6 linked regions of the Oryctolagus cuniculus genome follow. The protein of the gene in region 6 interacts with the protein of the main gene of each other region in a pairwise test. Links are inferred from orthologs where the notes say so. Each region holds a gene or a part of one and is shown on either strand. Other genes may lie near its edges.

Region 1 (4,103 bases), on a different chromosome or scaffold from region 6:
TTCCAATGCTCACCAAACCCGGTGGTCTGCGGGTAACCTGTGCTCGTTAAAACGCACACAACGCCCGGCTTCAAGCAAATCTGGAGTGTTGCTCCCGGCTCGGTCTCCAAGCCTCACGAAATATGTTAGAGGAGGGAAACAGTTGAAGCGTACTTGTTAATAATTCTTCCGCTCTGTTTTTCCATGAGGCGGATTTCTTTTCAACAGTCACAGAGTTCAGAGAAAAATAAAATCACTGCAAAACTAAAAGATGCTATCCTCACATAAAGTATTAATACTGAAAACTTATCAATGTATTTCATCAAAAGGACACGGAACACACAACCTGAAGCCCAACAGCAAAAGACACGCACTCCCTTTGGACAAGAGACGGATGCAACAGTGGCTACAGCAGCGAATGCTACAGTGGCAGAAGCTGCACTAACATTACCCAGCCCAGCAAACACACTCAGGGACTCACACGTTCCCCTTTGATGTCAGTTTTAATAAGCAGCTGGTTTCTCTAGGAAGAAAAAGAGGGGAGAAACTTTAAATTTACATCTTTAAACTTCAGGTACAATAAAAAAAATTTTTTGCCTCCTGGCTCTAATTTCCAAGTCCACCTCATTTTCTTTTTCTTGTTCAAACATCATGAGTCATATCAAACATCTGGTGCTCACGAAATTTACTGCTTTAAATTCAACTGAAAACTGACCGTCCACAACTGAACAAGTGCCATCTCAATTCAGAGAAACTGAGTGCTGACTTCATCTCTACACAGCATCTCCATACCTGTATTTGAAAATGTAGATTTTTTCTTTTCCTCTTGACTTGGAGGGGAAAAAAGCAACAACGAATGCAGCCATCACAAACAGGACTCATTCGGGGAGGAAAACGGGGGCTCTCTCCCTGAGCGCCTCCTCTGTGACAGCTTTTTTTTTTTTTTTTTTTGGCAGGCAGAGTGGTCAGTGAGAGAGAGAGACAGAGAGAAAGGTCTTCCTTTTGCCGTTGGTTCACCCTCCAATGGCCACTGTGGCCAGCGCGCTGCGGCCAGCGCACCACGCTGATCCGATGGCAGGAGCCAGGTACTTATCCTGGTCTCCCATGGGTGCAGGGCCCAAGCACTTAGGACATCCTCCACTGCACTCCCTGGCCACAGCAGAGAGCTGGCCTGGAAGAGGGGCAACCGGGACAGAATCCGGCGCCCCGACCGGGACTAGAACCCGGTGTGCCGGCGCTGCAAGGCGGAGGATTAGCTTAGTGAGCCGCGGCGCCAGCCCTGTGACAGCTTTTAAAAATGATTCAGAATCATCTAAACGTCTACTAGTTAAGCACCAGACTAAACCCTCAAATGCCAAGTGTTCGTTTGCCGTGGTAATGGAATAAAAGGCTGGGAACAGGCAGGACTGGCCAGTAGGATCTGAATCTTCAGACGGGAGGGCCAAAGCTTTAAGCCGCACTGCTCCTTGTTAACTTTTCATTAGCCTCGTCAACAAGAAAATCCACAGGCTGAGGTTCGGATTCTTTCCTTTCCCGGGCTTTCCCTCCGGCAGGGGCAGGAACGGGGGAGGGCACAAAGTCTAGAGTACATCAGAAAACAAGGCAGAACATCCCGCTTGAGAGGCAGCCACGGGAAAGCAGGGGGAAGAAAATCCAGTTCCCCATTTTCAGCCTGGCGACTCCCTTCCAGAACTCAGCACTGCCTGCCAAAAGCAACGGCGGTGGAGCAGATGACTAAATATCACCCTCAACCTCCGCCTGGCCTCATCGCGGGAAGTCTTGGTGGCTCCTCGGCTGAGACATGGAGGGGCAGAGCAGCCAGAGACGGGGGCCCGGCGGAGCAGGGATGCAACCACGCTGAAGCCCCCTTTCTAGTCCTTGTCGTATTCAGATGAACACAAGCTACCTGCTGAGTTTGGGACTAACTACACTGCGCATCTGCTCTCACACACACATTGCACTCGCTTGTGAATCCCAGAAAGCGGCCTTGGCGAAGCCAGCTGAAGTTGCAAAGCAATGCATCCCTCCGGGCCAACACAACCAGAGAAAGTCACTGAACTGAATTCACCCTGACAGAATGCAAAGGGGTTACTAGGAGCACAGCCCAGCAGCCGCTCTTTGCTGAACGAACGGGCTTCACCTGGGCGAAGGAGCCAGGGAAAAATCTCTTTGACAGGATACCTGGCCTCCTTCTCAGCTGTACAGAACATCCTGCCACGCCCTCCTGATAAATCCAAGCCATCAACTTCGGAGACTTATAAAATACCCTGTTACCTTGGGCGCCCTGTGCTCCTGACCAGCCAGCGGCCACGTCCTCCCTAACACCCCAGACCCAGGACGGCTGTTCTTGAATCCACGGTCTGCTACCCTCCTCATCCACTAGTGCATTAAACTTCTCCCCTTCATCTTCAAAACTTGTCCCCCCCGCGGCGTGGACGAGGACCCCGCACTGGGTAAACGAGGCCAGCTTCTCAAGAAACTCCAGGAGCCCGAGCGGCGACCTGCACAAAAAGCCCTCTCTGGGTACCGAGGGTCTGCGAGCCCGCGCTCCCCGACGCCCGCCTGTCCGAATCTGAGGGTCCCAGGTTGAAAGCGGGGAGGGGGCGCGCCGCCCCCGCCCGACGCCCCGCCCTCTCCCCCGGAGCCTCCGCCCTCGTCCCTCTGTCCGCTCCACGGGAGACCAGCCTCGTGCGTGCCTTTCCGACCTGTACCCGTGGGGAGCCAGTCCACAGCGCGACGCCTCCATGGCCGGCTCTCCGGAACGGCAAGCAGGGGCAGACCCCCAGACGCCGCTGCTGGGGTGGCAAGTCTGGCCGGCGGCCGGGCCCCGCCCCCTGGCAACCACACCCCGCACTGTCGCCGGCGCCCATTGGCCCTCGCGCCGGCCGCCCCTCTCTCATTGGATTCCTAAGGGGCGGGAGGAGCCCGGGAGTTAAAGGCGCCTGCGCCAGGGCGGGGACGCGGCGCCGGGGCTGGATCCCCTGGAGCGCTGGGCTGGGCAGGCACTGAGCGCCGGATGTGTGGGCGTCCGCCGGGCGCCTGGGCTCCCTGCAGCCGACAGGGGCGTCCGCCCGAGGAGCAGCCCACCCCCACCTTGCGCCACCCAGGGAGCGGCTTCGGCCTCGCAGCCGCGTGCATTTGCAGACCCTTGCGCCGCCCTCGCCTCCGTAACCCACAGAGAACTGCTCCAGCTCTTCCCTGGTGCACAGAGGACAGGAGAGGATGTTTCCGTCCCCCCCCCCCCCATTTCCTGGGAACCAACTACTCTCTACCAAGGCTGGGGAACTATCACTTGGTCCGGCCCTGCCAAGGCAGCTGCAGGCGGGACTCGTGGAGCAGGCTAACTTTTAAGTTGGTAATGCTCCACGGCCCACGGAGATGTTACAAATTTCCAAATGGCACTCGGCAGAAAAGAGTTCCCAACCCCTGAAGTTGTCTCCGTGGCATTTCCCATCGTCAGCTGTTTGCACATGGGTTACATCTTTAGGAGGGGCTGGCACCGTGGAGCAGAAGGTGAAGCGGCCACTTGCAAGGCTGGCGTCCTCTAAGGAAAGCCTGCTGGAATCCTGGCTGCTGCAGTTCTGATCCAGCTCCCTGCTGTTCTGCCTGGGAAAGCAGCAGCTGATGGCTCAAGTGCTTGGGCTCCAGCCACCCACGTGGGAGACCTAGATGGGGATACTGGCTCCTGGCTTTGGCCTGGAACAGCCCTGGCCAGTTTGGTCATTTGGGGAGTGAACCGGCAGACGGAAGTTGTCTCTCTCTCTCTCTCCATCACTCTGCCTTTCAAGTAAACAAATCTTTATTTAAAAAAAATTTAAAGGCATAGATCTTGGCACAAACTAACAGCAGAGCATTGAACTTACTGTGTGACCATAAACATGGCTCACTCTCTGGGCTTCAGATTCCCACCTATAAACAGAACACCTGCTTGGTCCAGCTGGGACTGCACCTGACACAGTGTAGGCTCCTGAATGCTCAGTGAATGGGGCTTAAATGAGATGCTACTTGCATAACCCACGTGACACTTTGTTGACTGGGCAAGCCTGCATTAGCTCCAACAGTATTCAAAAAGGTCCACGTTTATGTATACACCGTTATTATAAGAAACCATTTTCCTACCCTTA
Region 2 (3,500 bases), on a different chromosome or scaffold from region 6:
TTGTTGTTGTTGTTGTTTTCTTTTTTTAGAGATGTATTTTATCTATTTGAAAGAGTTACAGGGAGAGATAGAGACAGAGAGAAGTCTTCCATCTGCTGGCTCACTCCTCAAGTGGCTGCAACAGCCAGAGCTAAGCTGATCCAAAGCTAGAAGCTTCCTCACATTCTCCTATGAAGGTGCAGGGGCCCAAGGACTTGGGCCATCCTCCTATGCTTTTCCAGGCATATTAGCAGGAGCTGCATTGGAAGTGGAGCAACCAGGACTTGAACTGATGCCCATATGGGATGCCGGCACTGCAGGCTGGGGCTTGAACCAGCTGCACCACAGTGCTGACCCCTATTTGGAAAGATGAAAGTAAATTACTGTAGTTTTAAAAACTTAAAATGAATAATTGTAAGTATCTGTTTTATTGATAATGCACACTCTTGCTCTGTCTTGAAAGTCACTATCCTAAACTGTCTGTGGTTTAACTGATAAGGCAAAAAATAATATGCTTGGTGGCAACTGATGTAGAGGCTTCATTATAATACCTCAGATGACTGGCTTTTAGAATGATTAAATTATCAGCTGTGGTGTCGTGTTTTGGGATTTTCTTCCTCCTTCCTTTCCCAGTTGCTATCCAAATAATTCAGAGTTGATTGTTAGAGAAAATCAAATCCTATGGAAAGATAAAGTGATTAAATGTGAGATACAGTGGTAGGTACTGAGTGAGTGACTGTGGTATTTCTGTTACGGGATTGTGGGGATGATTACTACATAGCAAATGTCTTCATCAGTTTTGTAAAATTATAAATACAACTTAGATAAGTGAATTGATGGCTTTTAGAATTATTTTGTTTTTGTTTTGGTATGTATATATTTTTACTGATTCTCAGATCTTTCTCAATTTTAGGAAGATGAACAAGCAAGAACAGATTATTTCATTAGGACACTCTTACTTGAATTTCAGAATGTAAGTACTTTCCATTAAAGATAATCTCTTAAGGATACTTTCCAAATAGGAGATTATATATGAATAGCATACTATTTACATAGTTAAGAAAGCTTGGTAGTTCTTTAAGTAATGTAAAATACTGAAGAAGAAAATCACAGTGTATATTTTACGTAGTATGTTGAGCCTTATGCTTATCAAATTATGTAATAAAATAATTAAAATTTTAACTTAGAACAACATTCCTAAATTAAATTTGTTGTATTTAAAATAATTAGGCTTTCTTTGACACAATAAAGCAGGTTACAGTGTTTATATAATGATTACCCACTTTGACTAGTTTATGGATTTTTAGAAAGTTAACCATCAACATTTAGATACATGTTTTAACTTGAAGCCCTTGATTTCATTATGTCAGAACTGTATAAAATGATAGTTTCTCCAGAAAAGAATAAAAAATCTGATGGACATTAGAAAATACTTATCCTCATTGCTCTGTTTTTATCATAATTTTTAAACCATAATAAGTAGTTTAGTATGGCTGTGAAGTACATCCCTCTTCCCAACTCATGCATTCACACTTAAGGCCTCCTGTCCTGTTTATGTGTGTCCTCCCACCTGGCTTTACTATTTGGCTCCCTCTAGATGCATCACTTATTATACTTTGCTGCTATTTTTAAATCTATAGTAGTAAGGATGAGTATCTTAATGAATTTCTATAGTGTATCAGGTACCTCAATCCTCTTAACTTTGTAACAGTAGATATTATTATCTACATCGTATATAATCTTGTTACCTAACAAGACAAAGGCTTTGAAAAGATAAATAGCTTACCTAAAACTACTAATCAAATGGCAGGAAAATATTTGAGTAACTTTGCTTAAATCTCAAGCCCAATTCTTTCTGTTCAACACCTAGAATAACTGTTCTGAGAACAATTTTTACATCAGAATTCCCTTATATTCTTATCCGAAAGAGCTTTTGTTTATACAGGTTATATCTTTTAATATTTACTGGGATTAAAACTGAGAAATTTTTTAAAAACATGAAAACAAGCATATATTCCATTAGCTATTGAAGAAAAAAAGCAAATAACATGTTAGCATTTTTCTCAAAATAGTTTAGAACTCATGGCCACCCACCAGAAAGGGTTCCTAGACTATATTTCAAGAACTGCCGATCCATAGTAAGACAAATGGATTGAGGTTGGACAGATGTGCTTCTTTCTCTGTTTAATATTTACTTAGTCTTCTAATTACAGTATATTCTAACACAGTACTCATAGTATATTACTCACCAAGTTTAATAGTGTGTATTTAGTTAAATGGCGTATTGACAGTTAATGTTTACATTCTGAAGTTAAGGCCGCCTGGGTAAGATCCCACATTTGTCGCTTCTGTGATACTTTCAGCAAGTTGTTTCATCTTTCTGTCTCAATTTCCTTAACCCTGAAATGAGAATAGAATTAACAGTACCTTCCTTATGAGAATTGAATAAATTATTGCATATGACCTCCTTAAATAGGTAGTCAATATATGCAGGCTGTTATTGTTTTTAATGTGGTGCTTAGTACCTAACCAGATGTCTTAGATAAGTCAGTTAAGTGTGATATAAAGCTTTAAAATTGGCAAATATATTTTCATAACTGTTGGATTTCCATTTTTTTAAAGGAGTCTCGGAGGCTGTATCAGTTTCATTATGTAAACTGGCCAGACCATGATGTTCCTTCATCATTTGATTCTATTCTAGACATGATAAGCTTAATGAGGAAGTATCAAGAACATGAAGATGTGCCCATTTGCATTCATTGCAGGTATAAGTTTCCCAAACATTCAAATATAGTAGTTTTTTTTAAGTTTGATGTTGGTTTTATTTCTGCATTAATATAATGAATCCTGAATTTCTTCTATACGGTATGGGTCTGAGGCCTGTAATCTCATGGCTGATTATTTAAATGTTACATTAAAATGTAAGATCATCTATTTGAAAATGGTGGGATGCTTACTAATTAAAGCATGTAGTCTAATCAGTATCCATTATACCCTGCTTTTTAAAGTCAATACTGTAATATTTAGATTAACTAAGAAAGACAAAAGTACACAATAGAATTTTTTGTGGATAGATCAGTTTACCTCAAACAGTGGCCAAGCAAGTTTCATGTCTCATAAACATTGGTATGGGTTTTCTTATGTATATGGATGTACATACTTAAGATCTTAGTTGATCTAAAGTACCATCAGTTCTAAGACATACTAATGTTTTATATACACTAAGAATGAAATTGTCTGCCAATTAAAACAGAAATAGGTTGCTTGTAAGAAGCCATTAGTGATGATATAGATACTAATTTCAGAAATGTCATAATGTAGGTTTATTTTTTATTTATTTATTTTTAAGGGCGTTGTTGTTTTTTTGGTTTTTTGTTTCTTTGTTTTTCTTTTTTTTTTCTTTTCTTTTCTTTTCTTTTCTTTTCTTTTCTTTTTTTTTTTTTTTTTGACAGGCAGAGTTAGTAGACAGTGAAAGAGAGAGAGACAGAGAGAAAGATCTTCCTTTTTCCATTGGTTCACTC
Region 3 (3,608 bases), on a different chromosome or scaffold from region 6:
GCATGACACCAGTATCTCAAAGCAGCTGCCTGTCCCCCGCCTGTTTCAGAACTGCAGCTGAAAACTCTTTGCTCCGCGTCCCCCAAAAGACGGGCTCCGCTCCTCCAGTCCTGGCCCTTTACAACACGCAAGGGTGTGATTCAATGCGGCCGTCCCCCGGCAGGCCCTTCCGCGTGGCACCGCCAGGACCCGGGGCCCCTCCCCTTCCAGGGACAGCTCTGCAGAGCACTGTGACCACGCCCAAGCTGCTAAGGAAGTGAGGCCCAAACCTATGGAGATTGGTATGGAGCATTTTCAATACGATACACAAATCTACAAACCAGTTTTTGGGGGCCCAGCTTTGGAGTGGAGGCCTGGGGGGAGCAGCACATTGTGACCATGCTGCTGGGCACTGGACGAATGGGGTCGGCCAAAGCTGATGCTTCTGTCACCACCGAGCCTCCTCCCCAGCTTCCTCGCCACGGCGCTGAGCTCCCTTCTACAGCGAGCAGGCACAGGGGTGAAACCAAAGCGTTTATTTCCCTTCTGCTCACAGGACAGCGAGCGAGCGTCCACCAGGACACAGGAGAGAGGACCTCAAGCACACGGGGCTCCCTTTAGGGAGCCCCAGGCCCCACAGTCCCCCAGCCCGCCCTAGCATGCTCGCACGCGGTCTGGAGGGAGACCAGGAGAGCACTAGACCAGCTGGGTCCTCACAACCACAATTCGAGTTTGTCCCTTTCTAGGGCGGCCGAGTGCGACCAGGAGACCAGTGGCTGCAGACGGCAGCCTGAGCAGCCCACGTGGCTGAGGCCCACGAGCCTTGGGAGTCGGTGACGTCGTGCGTGCAGGGACCACCTGATGGCGGTGTGGCCACGCCCCCCAGAGCGGAGAAATCCACGAAGGGAAAGGTCCATTTCTTCTAATTAGAGGAAGGAGCCAATGAGCTTTCTGCAGTCCCTTGGGGAGGTTTTGGTTGAACTCGGGGTCTGGGGAGGGGAGGGCCTCTCTGCTGGTGACCTTGCGTGCCCGACGGAGGCGGCCTCTTCTGCTTCTGGTGCTGGGCACGGTGGGCAGGAGGCAGGGGACGATGCCCAGGGGCCTGGGAGCCGTGCCCAGGTGGTGGGGGAGGTTGGGCAGCTGCTGGATTTGCAGGCGTGGAGGCTGGAATTGGAGGGAGCTTCCGGGCCCTTTCCTCGGTCGCTGCTCTCTGCGCTCTCATCTCCTGCTGCTCGTCTGCAACAACAGAACACCAGCATGCCAGCTGCCCTGGGCACGCGCTGTGCCAAGAGGAGGAGGAAGCGGAAGCGGCCCCTCCCATCCAGCCGAGCCTGCCAGCTCTCGCAGGAGAGACAGAAAAGCTCACCACAGGTAGAGCGAGAGCCCAGGGAACCGGAGAGAGGAAACGCACACGTGGAGGCTTTGTGTTGGGGCTCCGGGAGCAGAGAGCACCATCAGACCCCGGGGCCCTGCCTCCGTGCCACCCCTGGACTGCACCCGCAGTGATGAGATCCGATTGGCTACAGGGCACATGAGCAACTGTATCTCTCCCGTTCTGTGTCAGCCCTGCTCCCACCCCCTGCCTGCTGTCAGGCGGCCCCCATTCTGGGGAGAGGCTGGGACACACACAAGGCTTTGTAGTCCTTGGGAACCTTCCTCATCCCTCAGAAAGTCATGGCCCAGCCTCTCGGGCTTGGGAAGGAAGTAATCTCCCTTCTCTTCGCTCACTGGGATGTTCTGCCTTGTAGGACGTCAGACCACACCGAATAGAAATGTAGTTGTTGCAGTGCTGTTACAAACTCTACGGGAACCCTTAGGTGCTCAGCGCCCATAGGCCTGCCCCCTCTGGCTCCTTCAGGCTCCCAGTTAGGTTTCCTGTGCCCCTGCCCAAGGCCACCCTTGCAGCAGCTGCAGTGGGGGGGGGGCCAGGAGAGAAGTGGTGTGAATCTGTGGGTAAGCGAGTGATGTTCATTCATTCATCTTTACGGGGCTGTGCGTTCGGGCGGCACGGTCCCGCCTTTGCATCCCCCTGTAACTGGGGGCTGATGCTATCAATCCAACTGCCTCCGACCGCTGCAAGTGCAAGCCCCAGCCGCTTTGACTCAAACCAGGCCCTGTGGCTCTGACAGCGGAGCGGCCCACCTGCTCTAAGCACAAAGAGAAAGGCACAGGAGAGATAAAACACAGCCTGGGTGCCACCTCCGGTGCCTTGGGGAGGCTGGGGTGGTGTCTGGGAGGTCCCAGGTCCCAGCTGTGGAGCAGTGGCAGTCCTTCTCTATCCCCATCCCCCAACCCCATTCTGTTCATTTGTTCTGCCAACATGTGTGCCTCCTCCGCCAGGCGGTAGGTGCCATTGCCAGGGGCAGCAATGACTCAGACACAAACACTGTCCTCAGGAAGCCTAAACTCAAGGAAGCAATGAACCAGGCCTGCGAATCCCAAAGTCCGTCTCTGGGAAGAGCTCAGGGCCACCAAAGAAGTCTAGACAAAGAACCATGCGAGTGCGGGCAGATACAGTGGGCTGTGGGCAAGTGGCTTGATTGGACACACATGGCGGGCACGGCTCTGTGAGACCTGCCTGGTCCCCTAACAGCAGCACCTTCAGCCACTGTCTAAACACCTGCTCCAAGGACCTCCTCCAGGCTCTTCATTTGCATATCCTGGCTGCTCAATCCAGGGCCAGGACTAGGGTGAGACAAGCAAGGCTTGAGGCATAAAACTTAAAGAAGCACCCATTCCTCAGGGTCATGCAAGGGCAGGACAGGTCTGAGGATGAGGACCTCCTTAAATTCTGCTCCCTGGGCTCCTTGCCTCATTGTGGTCCTGGCTCTGCCCTTCTGGCTGTAGGATTTGGGGCAAATACTTAGTCTCACTGGGTTCAAGTTTCTGCCCCTGCAATAATATTATCTGCCTGCTAAAATCACTCTGGAAGTGGGATGAGATCATGTATGGGATGACAAAACACAGAGGTCGCTAGTGCAAGGCACAAGCAATGGGTTAAACTGAGCATCACAGTGGTCATTCGGGTCTGATCATGGCAGACAGCGCCTGTCTTGGAGTGAGGTGGGAAGTCTGCCTTGGGAGGACATGTGGTCAGTCTTTGAGTATTAGATGATGAGAAGGGGGCCTCTGTGTGTGAGTGTGTGTGTGTGTGTGTGTGTGTGAGCAAGGCACTGAGGTGAGGGAGCCTGGGAACCAAGGGCTCAGCCGCTGCGGCTGTTCCTTCGGGGTAGAGAGTGAGGCGGCAATGGCAGTAGGAAGGATGGCTGTTAAGCTTAGAAAGTTCTCCCACGGCTTGGGCTGGGGACAGTGCAGGTTAGGGATGTGGGGACAAGGGATGGCAGCCTAAAGAGGTAACTGAGGAAAGAAGCATGACATAAGGAAGCCAAATTCCAAGGGCACAGAGCCCAAGGCCACCACGGCTCAGGTAAGGTTAGACCGGGTCCACAGGCAGTGCTAGAGGTAGCCAGTGAGGGTGTGCCGAGCCCACTTTCTGGAAAGGCCTGGAGCAAGCAAACCCAGCCCTGCTGCTGCATGTGAGAATACACAGGGGCCCAGGGACCTGCTAGCTCTCCAGCATGACCTGCCTATGGCCGACGCCCCCATCCCAGCACCCACGGTGACACCTG
Region 4 (4,283 bases), on a different chromosome or scaffold from region 6:
TTCTACGAGGCTGTGGGGCCGAACGGGGCCCCCACCCAAGCCCACACCCGCCGGTTCCGCCGTCGGGAGAAGCCCGGGGCTGGATCCCGCGTGGGGCGGGTCCCAAAGGCAGCAGGTGGACCTGCAAGACCCGGATGGAGCCTGGCCCGGACCTACCGCCAGCTCCCTGCGCATGCGCACCCTGGGCGGCCGCAGGTGGACCTGCGAGACCCAGCGTGAGCCTGGCCCGGACCGGCCGTCTGGGGAGGAACCAGCGGGCAGAAGCTCTCCCCCCAACCCCCCTCCGTCATTTGACAGGCAGAGCCCCTACCCGCCGCCTCCCAGGTGCCTTGGCGGCATCAGAGCAGAGCCGGGGCTCGAACCAGGGGACTCGAACCAGCGTCGAACCAGCTTACGCCGGCCGGGCCTCTGCCGCAGCAGACCCTGGGTTTCAGCGCCCCAGGCCCCCGCGTAGGAGGGGCCGGGCCTGTGCGCTCCCGCTCCCGGCGCCCGGAGACTCCAGAGAGGGGCAGGCTCTGCCCTGGGCGGGGCCGCGGGGCCTGCGGGGGAGGGGGCTTGAAAGCTAAGGTTATCTGGGGGCAAAAATAAAAAAGCAGAATCCACAAACTCTCTCCTGTGTGCTTTCTCTTCACACCTTTTATTCTTTAAAAACTTTATTTTTGTTTATTTGCAAGACACAGGGACGGGGGAGAATCTTCCACTAGGTGAGGTCAAAGCCAGGAGCTGGGAACTCCTTCCGGGTCGCCGGGGGCCCAAGCAGTGAGCCACGGCTGCTGCTGGCCAGCGTCCGCGTGCGCAGTCCAGCAGGGCCGGGGCTTGAACCCGGGTGCTGAGATGTGGATGGAACCGGGACTTGAACCCAGGGCGCTCGGATATGGCCTGGGCCGGGGCCGGGTTTCGAACCCGGGTGCTCAGATGTGGCCAGGGCCGGGACTCGAACCCGGGCCCTTGGATGTGGCAGGGGCCGGGGCTCGAACCCGGGCCCTTGGATGTGGCAGGGGCCGGGGCTCGAACCCGGGCCCTGGGATGTGGCCGGGGCCGGGACTCGAACCCAGTAAACTAGGATCTGGTCCGCGGGCGTCCTCAAATCCGGGCCACACGCTCACCTGGGGAACCGATCTCTCGAGTCCGCAAACACCTGACGTCACATTGACGTCACCTGCTAGTTCGGGGACTGCGCTGCGCCAGCATCGCTAAGGGCCGCCGGTTCGAGTCCCGGCCGCCCCACTTCCAACCAAGCACAAGAACGAGACCGAGACGCAAACCCGGCGCCATCACGGCCCGGCCCACACCGCGGAGCCCGGGCGACAGGACCGGCTCCTCTCTGCGCATGCGCAGCTACCCACAATGCAGCCGGCGCGCGCTGCTCCGCCCCCTTTTGCATCACTCGCCACGGCACTTTACGGCTCCGTCGCGGATTCTTCTGGCGGGAAGTTAGTCCCACCCCCTCGTGCTTCGAAGACCCGCCCTTCTGTCCGGGGATTGGTTATGCGTCCCCGTCGCCCCGCGGTGACTGGCTCCCGCTCCTGCCACTCCTTTTCAGGCTTGTGGCGCGCGGCGGGGCGGCGACCGGCGGCAGCGTGATCGGCGGCGGCGGCGGCGGAAGTGGCCGGGGAGCCCGGTCCCCGCCGACACCATGGTGAGGGCCGGGCGCCGTCGGGGTCTGACCGGGAGGCGGGGTGCGGCTGGGGGTGGGCACGCGGCCGTCGGCGGCCTTCGGGTTGGGCCGTGGGGGTCGGGGCGGTGCGCTCCGGACGTGCGGGCGCAGCGTCCAGTCCCGCCCCCAGCCCCGAGCCGGGGAAACTGACCCGAGACGGCAGGTGCCTCGCCCGGGGCACCAGTACGTTGTTCTCCGAGGTTCACGGCTGGGCCGCCGTTAATCAAGGCTCAGCAGGTCAGCTGCGCGCTGTCCACTTTCCAGACGGGGAAACTGAGGCCGGAGGGGGCGGGGACCCCGCCGTCGGGCACTGTGGCTCGTGGGTGCCGCTGGGGGCTTCCGGCCCAGGGCAGGGTCCCCAAAGCGGGGCCGTGCGTTTCTCAGAGCCGGGGCCCGGTGGCCGGCGCCCGCTGCACGCCTGACGGCGGGGCTGGCCACCACGGCTGGCGGGCACTGCCCCTGGGAGTCCCCAGCTTCCGCCTGCTGCCGAGTTTCCTGGCCCAGGGGTGCAGGAGTCCTGTGGTCAGGGCGGGGCCTGGGGTGGGGGCGCCCACGGAGGGTCGCCCCGAGTTAGGAGCCCTTGGGTGTCGTCTTTGTCTTTGGTTTTTACGCACTGGAAAGAGAGGGAAAGGCAGGTGCAGAAAAGCCCCAGACGGCTCGGGGCTGGGGCAGAGCCAGGCCAGGAGCTGCACCCGGGTCTCCCACGCAGGTGCCGGCCCCCCCAGGCGCTCCGTCCGGGTCTCCCACGCAGGTGCACGGCCCCAAGGAGCTCCGTCCGCGTCTCCCACGCAGGTGCAGGGCCCCAAGGAGCTCCATCCGGGTCTCCCGCGCAGGTGCAGGGCCCCAAGGAGCTCCGTCCGGGTCTCCCACGCAGGTGCAGGGGCCCGAGCGCTTGGGCCATCTTCCACTGTTTTCCCAGGCGCGTTAGCGGCGAGCTGGGCGGGAAGTGGAGCAGCCGGGACTCGGGATGGGCGCGGGTGTCCCTAGCCGGTCTGCGGGGAAGCGAAGCGCCCTGGGCTGCGCCTGCCCCTCCGCGCGGGCGCTCCTAGTTCCTCCCCTTGGACCTGTGGCTCCCGCTCCTCCCTTTCCTTGGCGGCCGCCGGGCCCGGGGTGGTGCTGCCTTAACCTCCTGCAAATATTTACCCTGGCCCCCGCGCCCGCGCGCCCTCCCGCGGGGGCAGCCTCCACGCCCACTGCGGGTTTTCCAGTCTAGCCGGGGAGACAGGTAATAAACACACGCGATAATTAGACGCCGGCTGCAGCCTATAATGAAATAAACAGCCGCGCGCCCCAGGGTGCCCATTAGCTGGGCCTGGCCCAGGGAGGTGACAGGGGGCGGAGGGAGGCGGCCCCGGGGCTGTGGCTGCCACCTGCCGGGGTCACGGGCCGGGGCGAGCGCCCAGGTGCCTGTGGCGGGGAGAGAAGCCCCACCCCCAGCCAGCGTGAGGCCCTGTGTCCCTGCGCCCCAGCGTGGCTGGCGACACACGGCATCCAGATGACAAGCAGGGGCCGCCCCGCCCCCACCGCCGCCCCCTCTCCACGTGGCCCCTTCTTCCTCCTGAGCCCGGCCTCCAGGAAGCCGGGGCAGGAAGTGGGCTTGGGCCTGGCTTCCTGCTGCCCCCGGCCTCCCCTCCCCCAGGGGCGCTGCTGGGGAGGGCCCGCGGCGGGGGGGGGGTCTCCTCCTAGCTCACGCAGGAGGCTGGGGGGCGCAGGCCATCGCCCACTGGCGGAGCCGCCTTGCGTGGGGCGGGGGTTCCTGCCGGTTGGAGCAGACTCAGGTCCTCTGACGCCCGCGCGGCCCCTGGCAGACCCGGAGGGGGTCCCTCCTGGACAGGTCACGCCCACCCCACCCTGGCCCGGTGACCGGAGCACTGGGTCATCTTCAGCTGTGCCCCGCGCAGGAGCTGCGTCAGAGCCGGGGCTCAGCTCCACAGCGCCCCCAGCTGTCCGCCCGCCGGCTCCCCTGGGGCGGGGGGCTGCCCTGGGACGGACGCGGTCCCTGCGCTTCCGCACACAGGCCAGGGCCCCAGACCATGGCAGGGGGTGGCCCAGGAGCCCCCCGCAGGCGCAGCATCCCGGGAGCACCGGCTCCCTGCGGAGGGCCTGGGAGGCAGCGGGGAGGGGAGGGCCCCGCGCTGGGCCCCCGCCCCCACCGCCCACGCGGGAGACCCGGATGGAGGCCCTGGCTTCGGCCCGGCCTTTAGTTGTTTGAAAGGCAGAGATACGGGCGCCCTGCAGGCCCCAGGCTCCTCCGTGAACTTTCTGAATGCGGTCATATCTGCACCTCAGCTGGGCTCATCCAGCCAGGCGCGTGATTTATTTACTTTATGGGAGGGAGAGAGGTCCCACGTGCGCAGTCACTCCCCAGAGCCCGGAGCGCCATCCCGGGGCTCCCAGCCAGGGCGCGCATGCGCGGGGAGCTGAGCGGGCCCTACCCGGGGGCCCCCAGCCTGGGACGCAGCCGCCCTGACCAGGACGCCCAGCGCACACCCCTGTAAATCCGCGCGGTTATTGGTAAAAATGAGCAGAGCGGGCCTTGCGTAGACCTGAAGTCTTGGCGCGGCCTATGGGCCCTGCGTGGAGCCGTCCCCGCTCGGCCCGGGCCTGCGTGTGTTCTGGAATGTTC
Region 5 (2,351 bases), on a different chromosome or scaffold from region 6:
CACGCCAGAGACTCTTGTCGCCATCTTCAGTGTCCGAGATCCAGACTCTGGAGACAACGGAAGGATGGTTTGCTCTATTCAGGATGACCTCCCCTTCCTTTTGAAGCCCACTTTCAAGAACTTCTACACCCTGGTAACCGATGGAGCGCTGGACAGGGAGGCCAGGGCCGAGTACAACATCACCATCACCGTGTCCGACCTGGGCACGCCCAGGCTGACCACCCGGCACCACGTCGCGGTGCAGGTGTCCGACGTGAACGACAACGCCCCGGCCTTCAGCCAGGCCGCCTACACCCTGCTGGTGCGCGAGAACAACAGCCCCGGGCTGCTCATCGGCTCCGTGAGCGCCAGCGACAGGGACGCGGGCGCCAACGCGCAGGTGACCTACTCGCTGCTGCCGCCGCCACAGCAGCCCGACGTGGCGGCGCTCGTGTCGGTGCACGCGGACAGCGGGCAGCTGTACGCGCTGCGCGCGCTGGACTACGAGGCCCTGCGCGCCTTCGAGTTCGGCGTGCGCGCCGCCGACCGCGGCTCCCCGGCGCTGAGCAGCGAGGCGCGCGTGCGCGTGCAGCTGCTGGACGCCAACGACCACGCGCCGGCCGTGCTGTACCCGCCGGCCAACGGCTCGGCCGCCTGCCCCGAGCTGGTGCCGCGCGCGGCCGACGCGGGCTACCTGGTGACCAAGGTGGTGGCGGTGGACGGCGACGCGGGCCAGAACGCCTGGCTGTCGTTCGAGCTGCTCAAGGCCACGGAGCCCGGGCTGTTCGGCGTGTGGGCGCACAGCGGCGAGGTGCGCACGGCGCGGCCGCTGAGCGAGCGCGACGCGCCCAGGCAGCGGCTGCTGGTGCTGGTGCGCGACCACGGCGAGCCGCCGCTGTCGGCCAGCGTCACGCTGCACGTGCTGCTGGTGGACGGCTTCTCGCAGCCCTACCTGGCGCTGCCCGAGGCGGCGGCGGCGGCCGAGGCGGCGCGGCCCGACTCGCTCACGGTGCAGCTGGTGGTGGCGCTGGCGGCGGTGTCGTCGCTCTTGGTGCTGAGTGTGCTGGCGCTGGTGGCGGCGCGGCTGTGCGGCGGGGGCGGGGGCGGGGTGGGGGCGGGGTGTGCGGTTGGCGGCGGCGGCGGCGGCGCGGGTGCGGAGGGCCGCTTCCCGGGGCCGCTGCTGGACGTGAGCGGCGGCGGGACGCTGTCGCACAGCTACCAGTACGAGGTGCGCCTGACGGGCGACGCTGGGACCGGGGAGTTCAAGTTCATGAAGCCCATTAGCCCCAATCTTCAAGTCTCTGACGTTGGTAGGAATATAGAAGAAAGTGAAAACTTCCGTAATAGCTTCGGATTCAACATTCAATAAGATAATATTTTTAAACTTCTAATCTTTTATTCTCGTAAAACTGCTGATTTTTTTTGTCTAAACTTTAATGCATTTTATATCATCTGGTAGTTGCATGCAGTATTTCTTATGCTGTCTTCAGAGTTTCTTTAGAACTCATTTAATAACTGTGCATCCGTGCTTTCTGGGTTTTTATTTAGTCAAAAGTGTATTAATCAAATTACTACTGCTTCTTGCTATGATAGTGATATTGTTGTGCAAGACAATATTTTTAATTATTTGGATATGGAACCTAAAGTATTAAGACTAAATGTCATTATTAATTTACTTATACACACCATCAAAACAGACAAATCAGAAATAAAAATGTTGAATGAGTACAAAGAATATTGGTTTTATTGCACTGTTTTCTAAAATTTTTCATCATAAATGTAACATACTATCGCCTCTTTTTGAGTTCTGGAGAAAGTTATTTTTCAAGAATTCATGTTGTAGGAAAATTAAAGTGATTACATTGTAAGTGATCGATTTCTTAAGTGGTTTTTTCTTTAAGTATTTTTGTTGTTTTTAATGCTTGTGAGGAGTATTACAATATTCTGTGCTTTGGTATTGCTATATTGTTTTCTTTAAATATTTCAGATTTACTCATTTTTAATAGATTTATGTTTTCACTTGAGAGGCAGTTACAGAGAGAGGGAGAGAAAGAATATTCACCACCAGCAAGGGCTGGGCCAGGCCCAAGCCAGGAACCTGGAACTCCATCCAGATCTGTGTGAGTGTAGGGGCCCAAGCACTTGGGCCATCTTCTGCTGCTTTCCCAGGAACATTCACAGGGAACTGGATCAGAAGTGGAGCAACCTGGACTTGAACCTGTAGCCATATGGGAGGCTGGCGCTGCAGGCAATGGCTTAACTATGCCAGAATGCCAGCCACCAGCCGTGTTTACTCATTTAAATTTGTATTTAGATTTTTCTTTACTAAAACAGATAATAGTTCATGGTCTCATCCTGAATAACTTCATGAA
Region 6 (4,223 bases):
GACCCTTGAATCTGTGTTTAACTCCTGGATTCCTCCCCCCGCCCCCAACACACACACCCCGGTCCAGGACACGGCACACAGTCGGCGCTGCGTAAGTGCTCGCGGACTCCATGGGCAAACAGTGCCTGCCTGGCCCACAGGTGAAGAACGGGAAGGGTACGTGGCCTCACAGCAGCACTTACAGAGCACCGACTGTGTGCAGTTAGCTGAGCTGGGGCCCCTGGGGGGGAGCTGCGGGGGGCTCAGCTCCCGCACTGTCAGTGGACCCTGGGCTTGCCCTCCTCCTATGGCAGGAGCACCCCCAGACCCTGCCTCCCCCAGAAGTGCCTCCCCCACCCTGCTCCGCCCTTGCACCTGCTCCTCTGGCCGCCCAGTGCAGATTTCCCCACACCTCTCCCCACCTGCCCTGAGGCCTTGGGGGCTGGGCTGAGGGGCCGCTCAGGTTCTGATGCTATGGCCGAGCCCCCGCACCTGGCACCCCCAGCCCAGGCTCCAGTCCCCTCCCTGCCTGGGTGCAGCCTCTGGATTAAAGCCCCACCCCCTACTCCCAGCCTCCAACTCCCTGTGCCACTTCCCCCAGTCCCAAAGCAAATGGCCAGGGTGCCCAGCCAGGCCCCCAGCCACACACCAGGAGGTGGGGTCTGTGAGCCGTGAGGACCCCATGCCTGCGAGGTGGGGTCTGTGACTGCCTGGAGCAGCCCGTCCCAGGCAGGGACCCAGATCTCGGAGAGGGTGTGACCACCCCAGGGCCACCCAGTAATGAGTCAGCGCAGACCCTGCCCCAGGCAAGCCCACGGCCTCCACACTTTAGAAACGGTCCTGAGCCCCTTTGCAGCTCCTGCCCCCACCCCCCGGGTCTCTGAGCGACCTCAAGCCTCCGTGCCACCGTCCCTGGTGACTCACGGCCCCCTGGGGAACTCTCCCGGGCCGCCTCCGCAGTCCCCCGCCTCCCCTCCCACGGGCCCACCCCCTTTTTCCAGGAAAGTCCATGTTCCCCAGCTGGCCTGGGAGGCACAGGCAGCAGGGATCCCACACACCCCTCCCCCAGCCAGGTCCCACAGGCCTTCCTGCCCCGCTCTGCACCCTAAGGGAGCCACAGGGCAGCCCGCTGAAGCGGGCAGATGAGCACCGACTCAGAGAGGTGGAGCGTCTTGCCCAGAGCCACACAGCACGGCCCCTCTGGGCACTGGACAGGAGTCTCCCCTGGCTCATGCAGCTTTAAATCTCCCACCAGCCCTTCCGTCTCTGTTCCGGCTCCTAGTGGGGCCCACCAGGGTCCCTGTCTCGAAACAGGGTCGTACGCTTGGGTCTGTCTCTTGGGCGTGGCCAGGCACGTCGCAGGCCTGACCACCAGGGAAGCAGGGGTGAGGGACGGGGTTGCTACGGCAGCTGCTGGCCCCTGGGCAGGGGGAGAAGTTGGGGCGCCCAGCTGGCCCTCGCCCAGGAGCACCTGCGCCTTCCAGGAGCAGCCCCAGGCCAGGACGACCCCTTCCCGCTGAGGTCAGCCGCTCCGGGCCCTGTCCCGCAGGCTGTGGGGGCCTCGGACCACAGGGAGGCCCAGCAGCTTCAGACAGCCCTGCCCCCACCCCGAGCCACACCCACATGGCCCCCGAGGAGGGGCTGCAGTATTGCTCCATCACAGTGTGCGTGGCCAGCCCAGGTCACACAGCAGGCGTGCGGAGAGCTGGCACGGGAGCCAGTGTGTCCCCAGCCCCGAGTCCTGGCCGCACATCCACCCTGGGAGCCCGGCCGAGCCCGTAGAGGGCTGGCGCCTGCCTCTCAGGACTGGGGCTGCACACGCAGGCGCCCAGGGATCAGGGCCCTCCAGCCTCCAGTCCCTTGGGGCTTCTTCCCTGCACACGGTGCTCCAAGGAGGGTCCCCTGCCCCAGGAGGCCCTGCGCCCGGTCTGAGGCCCAGGACGGCCAGCGAGGGCTGCGGGAGCGCTCACTTGATCTCCGTCTGTCCGCCGGCCTTCCGTGCGATCTGCACCAGCTCCTTGCCGTAACGCTCCTCCGCCTGGGCCCTGCAAAAGCCAAGCACGTGCCGTCGGGCCCCCAGGACGCCAGCCGCCAGCGCCCCACCCCTGGGGCCTGGAAACAACCGTGGGCCAAACCCAGGCAGCGGTGCAGGGCGGCCTCACCCTGGCTTCTGTGAAGCAGGGGTGTGGGGGCGCCTCGCTCCCCCCGCTCACCTCTGCCGCAGCAGCTCCTCCACGTCCTTGCACATCTTCCTGCCGTCCAGCAGCCGCTGCAGTAGCACCTCGTAGCCCGTGTGCGCCGTGAAGTCCCTGCACTGACACAGGGCAGGGCGGGGGCGCAGTGAGGCCCGGAAGGCCCCCCACTCTCCCCACATCGCCCCGCTGAGACGACCAGGTGGCATCAGGACCTAGAGAGGCTCAGGAGCACAGTGAGCGGGGCCGCTGTGCCTGGGGACACGGCCCGGCCCGGGAGACCTCAGCTCCACCTGCAAATCCACCCCCCCAGGGGGTGCCTGGCACGGCCCGGATGCCCCCCCCCCCAGCTCCATAGCCCTGTTGACTTGGCTGAGCCGCAGGGAAGCAGCCCTTACCTGGGGAGACCCAGCCTGGAAAAGCCAAGGCCCGACCTTGAAGCCAGGCCGGGGAGCTGGCACCAGCGGGCTGGCCCCTGGGCGGCTCACGTGAGCCTGACTGCATGTTGCGGCTCGTGCCAGCCCCCTGCGCCTGCCAGGTGAGGCGCGCACGCTGAGCGCCTGAGTCCATGTTCTCCGTGGGCGGGGTGGGGCAGGGCGGGCGTTTGGATGCATCGCGATGAGGAGGGAGCAGCTGTGGCCACCCAGCACCTGTGACAACCCAGCACCTGCAGGCAGCCTGGGGCTGATCTGCTGTTGCTGGAAACTGTCCCAGGCCTGGGCAGAGGGTCCTCCTAGCTCCCCTGGTGCAGCCCAGGCAGCCCGTCCCAGGGACCGGCCATGGATCCTGGACGCTGGCTGGGTGCCGGGCAGGGCAACTGTGGCACCTGTTGCCCATCTTACTGTGGCCGCCGGATCCCAACCCCATTCCCAAAGCGGGGCTCTCGCAACCCCACGCCCTTTCCTGCTTCACCGTCAAAACCTGGCGCTCCGGCCTCCACCCAGCACTGGCCCCTCGAATTACGGGCCTCTGGGGAGCAGGCCACAGAGCCAGAGTCCAGGGGAGCTTCCTGCAGGAGGCGGCACTGGGAGGCGCAGACGGGGACAGGGGAGCAGTCATGGTGCAGAGGGTCCCACCGGCCCCTCCGGCCAGGCCAGACCCACCCTCAGCAACTCAGGACCTCAAGCTCTTGTCCCCTCCGAAAGCATCCCCAGAAATTCCTGGGGGGGGGGGGCCTGGCTGGGGCTCAGCTGCCTGCAGGGCGACAAGAGGTTCCTGGGCCTGTCCTAGAGCCAGTGTCCACCCCCCACCCCGTCCAGGCTGGGCCGGCTTCCCTGGGCGGGCCACAGCCTCCCATGCTCAGCCCCTGCCCTGCCTCCGGCCCCCCGGGTCAGAGCCTGTGGCAGCCGGCGAGAAAGAGCCACAGACCTGCCTGCTCCCTCCCGCGAGGGCTCCTCCGGACCTGGGCATCCAGCTCAGAATCCCCCTGACCGGACAGCTGGGCAGCGTTGGTGCAGGGCCCCTCAGTCCTGGGGAAACTGAGGCCCAGAGAAGGGCAGGGGTGGCCCCAGCAAGATCTGCTCTTCCTGCTCCGAGTCCTCTCCCCTCCCGGCCACACCCGGCCCAGCCCTCCAGGGAGACCCCCAAAGTGGGAAGAAGCCAGAGCAAACCTACAGCGGCCATTCTGCTGGGGCCCTGCAGGCAGGCCCTGGGGTCCCCAGGAGCACGCAGCCTGCAGCCTGCAGGATCCTGGTGTGCAGCCGATGAGCCACGGTCACAAGTGACCAGGCTGTTCGGAGGAAGTGCCTGCCCACCCCCGGCCCCGCCCCGCACCTCCTCCACCACCCCCGCCCCTTACCCAGCCACCTCTGACTCTGCTCCGAGCTCAGTGCGCTGGGAGATTCTAGCCTGGCGATCGTGGGCAGGTGCACTGCACCTGGGCCCTGCCCCAGCCGCCACCCGGCACCCTCGGCCTCTGTCACGGGAACCCGGCTGTGACACCCATGGAGACACCCACTGCCCCCCCCCCCAGCACAGCGGCCGCAGAGCCAGGAGCAGAGGTGGTGACCAGGAGGAAGCTCTGGGCCGCTCTCTGGCCTGGTCCAGCACGTG

The links.
Region 1: the proteins of PSTPIP1 (region 6) and TULP3 interact in binary tests that used the Homo sapiens proteins (3 or more experiments, as listed by UniProt). The two-hybrid records come from large-scale screens. The link is inferred for Oryctolagus cuniculus from reciprocal best matches to the Homo sapiens genes PSTPIP1 and TULP3.
Region 2: the proteins of PSTPIP1 (region 6) and PTPN12 interact in binary tests that used the Homo sapiens proteins (3 or more experiments, as listed by UniProt). The link is inferred for Oryctolagus cuniculus from reciprocal best matches to the Homo sapiens genes PSTPIP1 and PTPN12.
Region 3: the proteins of PSTPIP1 (region 6) and CD2 interact in a two-hybrid assay, tested with the Homo sapiens proteins (2 studies listed by BioGRID and IntAct). The link is inferred for Oryctolagus cuniculus from reciprocal best matches to the Homo sapiens genes PSTPIP1 and CD2.
Region 4: the proteins of PSTPIP1 (region 6) and LSM4 interact in binary tests that used the Homo sapiens proteins (3 or more experiments, as listed by UniProt). The two-hybrid records come from large-scale screens. The link is inferred for Oryctolagus cuniculus from reciprocal best matches to the Homo sapiens genes PSTPIP1 and LSM4.
Region 5: the proteins of PSTPIP1 (region 6) and protocadherin beta-14 interact in binary tests that used the Homo sapiens proteins (3 or more experiments, as listed by UniProt). The two-hybrid records come from large-scale screens. The link is inferred for Oryctolagus cuniculus from reciprocal best matches to the Homo sapiens genes PSTPIP1 and PCDHB14.

What each region holds. Positions count from the first base shown.
Region 1 is NC_091440.1:106,431,258-106,435,360, forward strand, and holds the start of TULP3 (tubby-related protein 3), read right to left. Parts: upstream 2,801-4,103; 5' UTR 2,726-2,800; coding exon 2,676-2,725; intron 1-2,675. UniProt on the Homo sapiens protein: Negative regulator of the Shh signaling transduction pathway: recruited to primary cilia via association with the IFT complex A (IFT-A) and is required for recruitment of G protein-coupled receptor GPR161 to cilia, a promoter of PKA-dependent basal repression machinery in Shh signaling.
Region 2 is NC_091434.1:142,090,724-142,094,223, forward strand, and holds part of PTPN12 (tyrosine-protein phosphatase non-receptor type 12), read left to right. Parts: intron 1-892; coding exon 893-952; intron 953-2,601; coding exon 2,602-2,744; intron 2,745-3,500. UniProt on the Homo sapiens protein: Dephosphorylates a range of proteins, and thereby regulates cellular signaling cascades. Dephosphorylates cellular tyrosine kinases, such as ERBB2 and PTK2B/PYK2, and thereby regulates signaling via ERBB2 and PTK2B/PYK2.
Region 3 is NC_091438.1:53,714,333-53,717,940, forward strand, and holds the end of CD2 (T-cell surface antigen CD2), read right to left. Parts: intron 1,216-3,608; coding exon 902-1,215; 3' UTR 501-901; downstream 1-500. UniProt on the Homo sapiens protein: CD2 interacts with lymphocyte function-associated antigen CD58 (LFA-3) and CD48/BCM1 to mediate adhesion between T-cells and other cell types. CD2 is implicated in the triggering of T-cells, the cytoplasmic domain is implicated in the signaling function.
Region 4 is NC_091447.1:65,595,513-65,599,795, reverse strand, and holds the start of LSM4 (U6 snRNA-associated Sm-like protein LSm4), read left to right. Parts: upstream 1-1,483; 5' UTR 1,484-1,636; coding exon 1,637-1,639; intron 1,640-3,995; exon of another isoform or gene 3,996-4,171; intron 4,172-4,283. UniProt on the Homo sapiens protein: Plays a role in pre-mRNA splicing as component of the U4/U6-U5 tri-snRNP complex that is involved in spliceosome assembly, and as component of the precatalytic spliceosome (spliceosome B complex).
Region 5 is NC_091437.1:28,761,700-28,764,050, forward strand, and holds the end of protocadherin beta-14, read left to right. Parts: coding exon 1-1,348; 3' UTR 1,349-1,851; downstream 1,852-2,351. UniProt on the Homo sapiens protein: Potential calcium-dependent cell-adhesion protein. May be involved in the establishment and maintenance of specific neuronal connections in the brain.
Region 6 is NC_091443.1:107,548,565-107,552,787, reverse strand, and holds the start of PSTPIP1 (proline-serine-threonine phosphatase-interacting protein 1), read right to left. Parts: upstream 2,801-4,223; 5' UTR 2,786-2,800; coding exon 2,570-2,785; intron 2,294-2,569; coding exon 2,193-2,293; intron 2,025-2,192; coding exon 1,950-2,024; intron 1-1,949. UniProt on the Homo sapiens protein: Involved in regulation of the actin cytoskeleton. May regulate WAS actin-bundling activity. Bridges the interaction between ABL1 and PTPN18 leading to ABL1 dephosphorylation.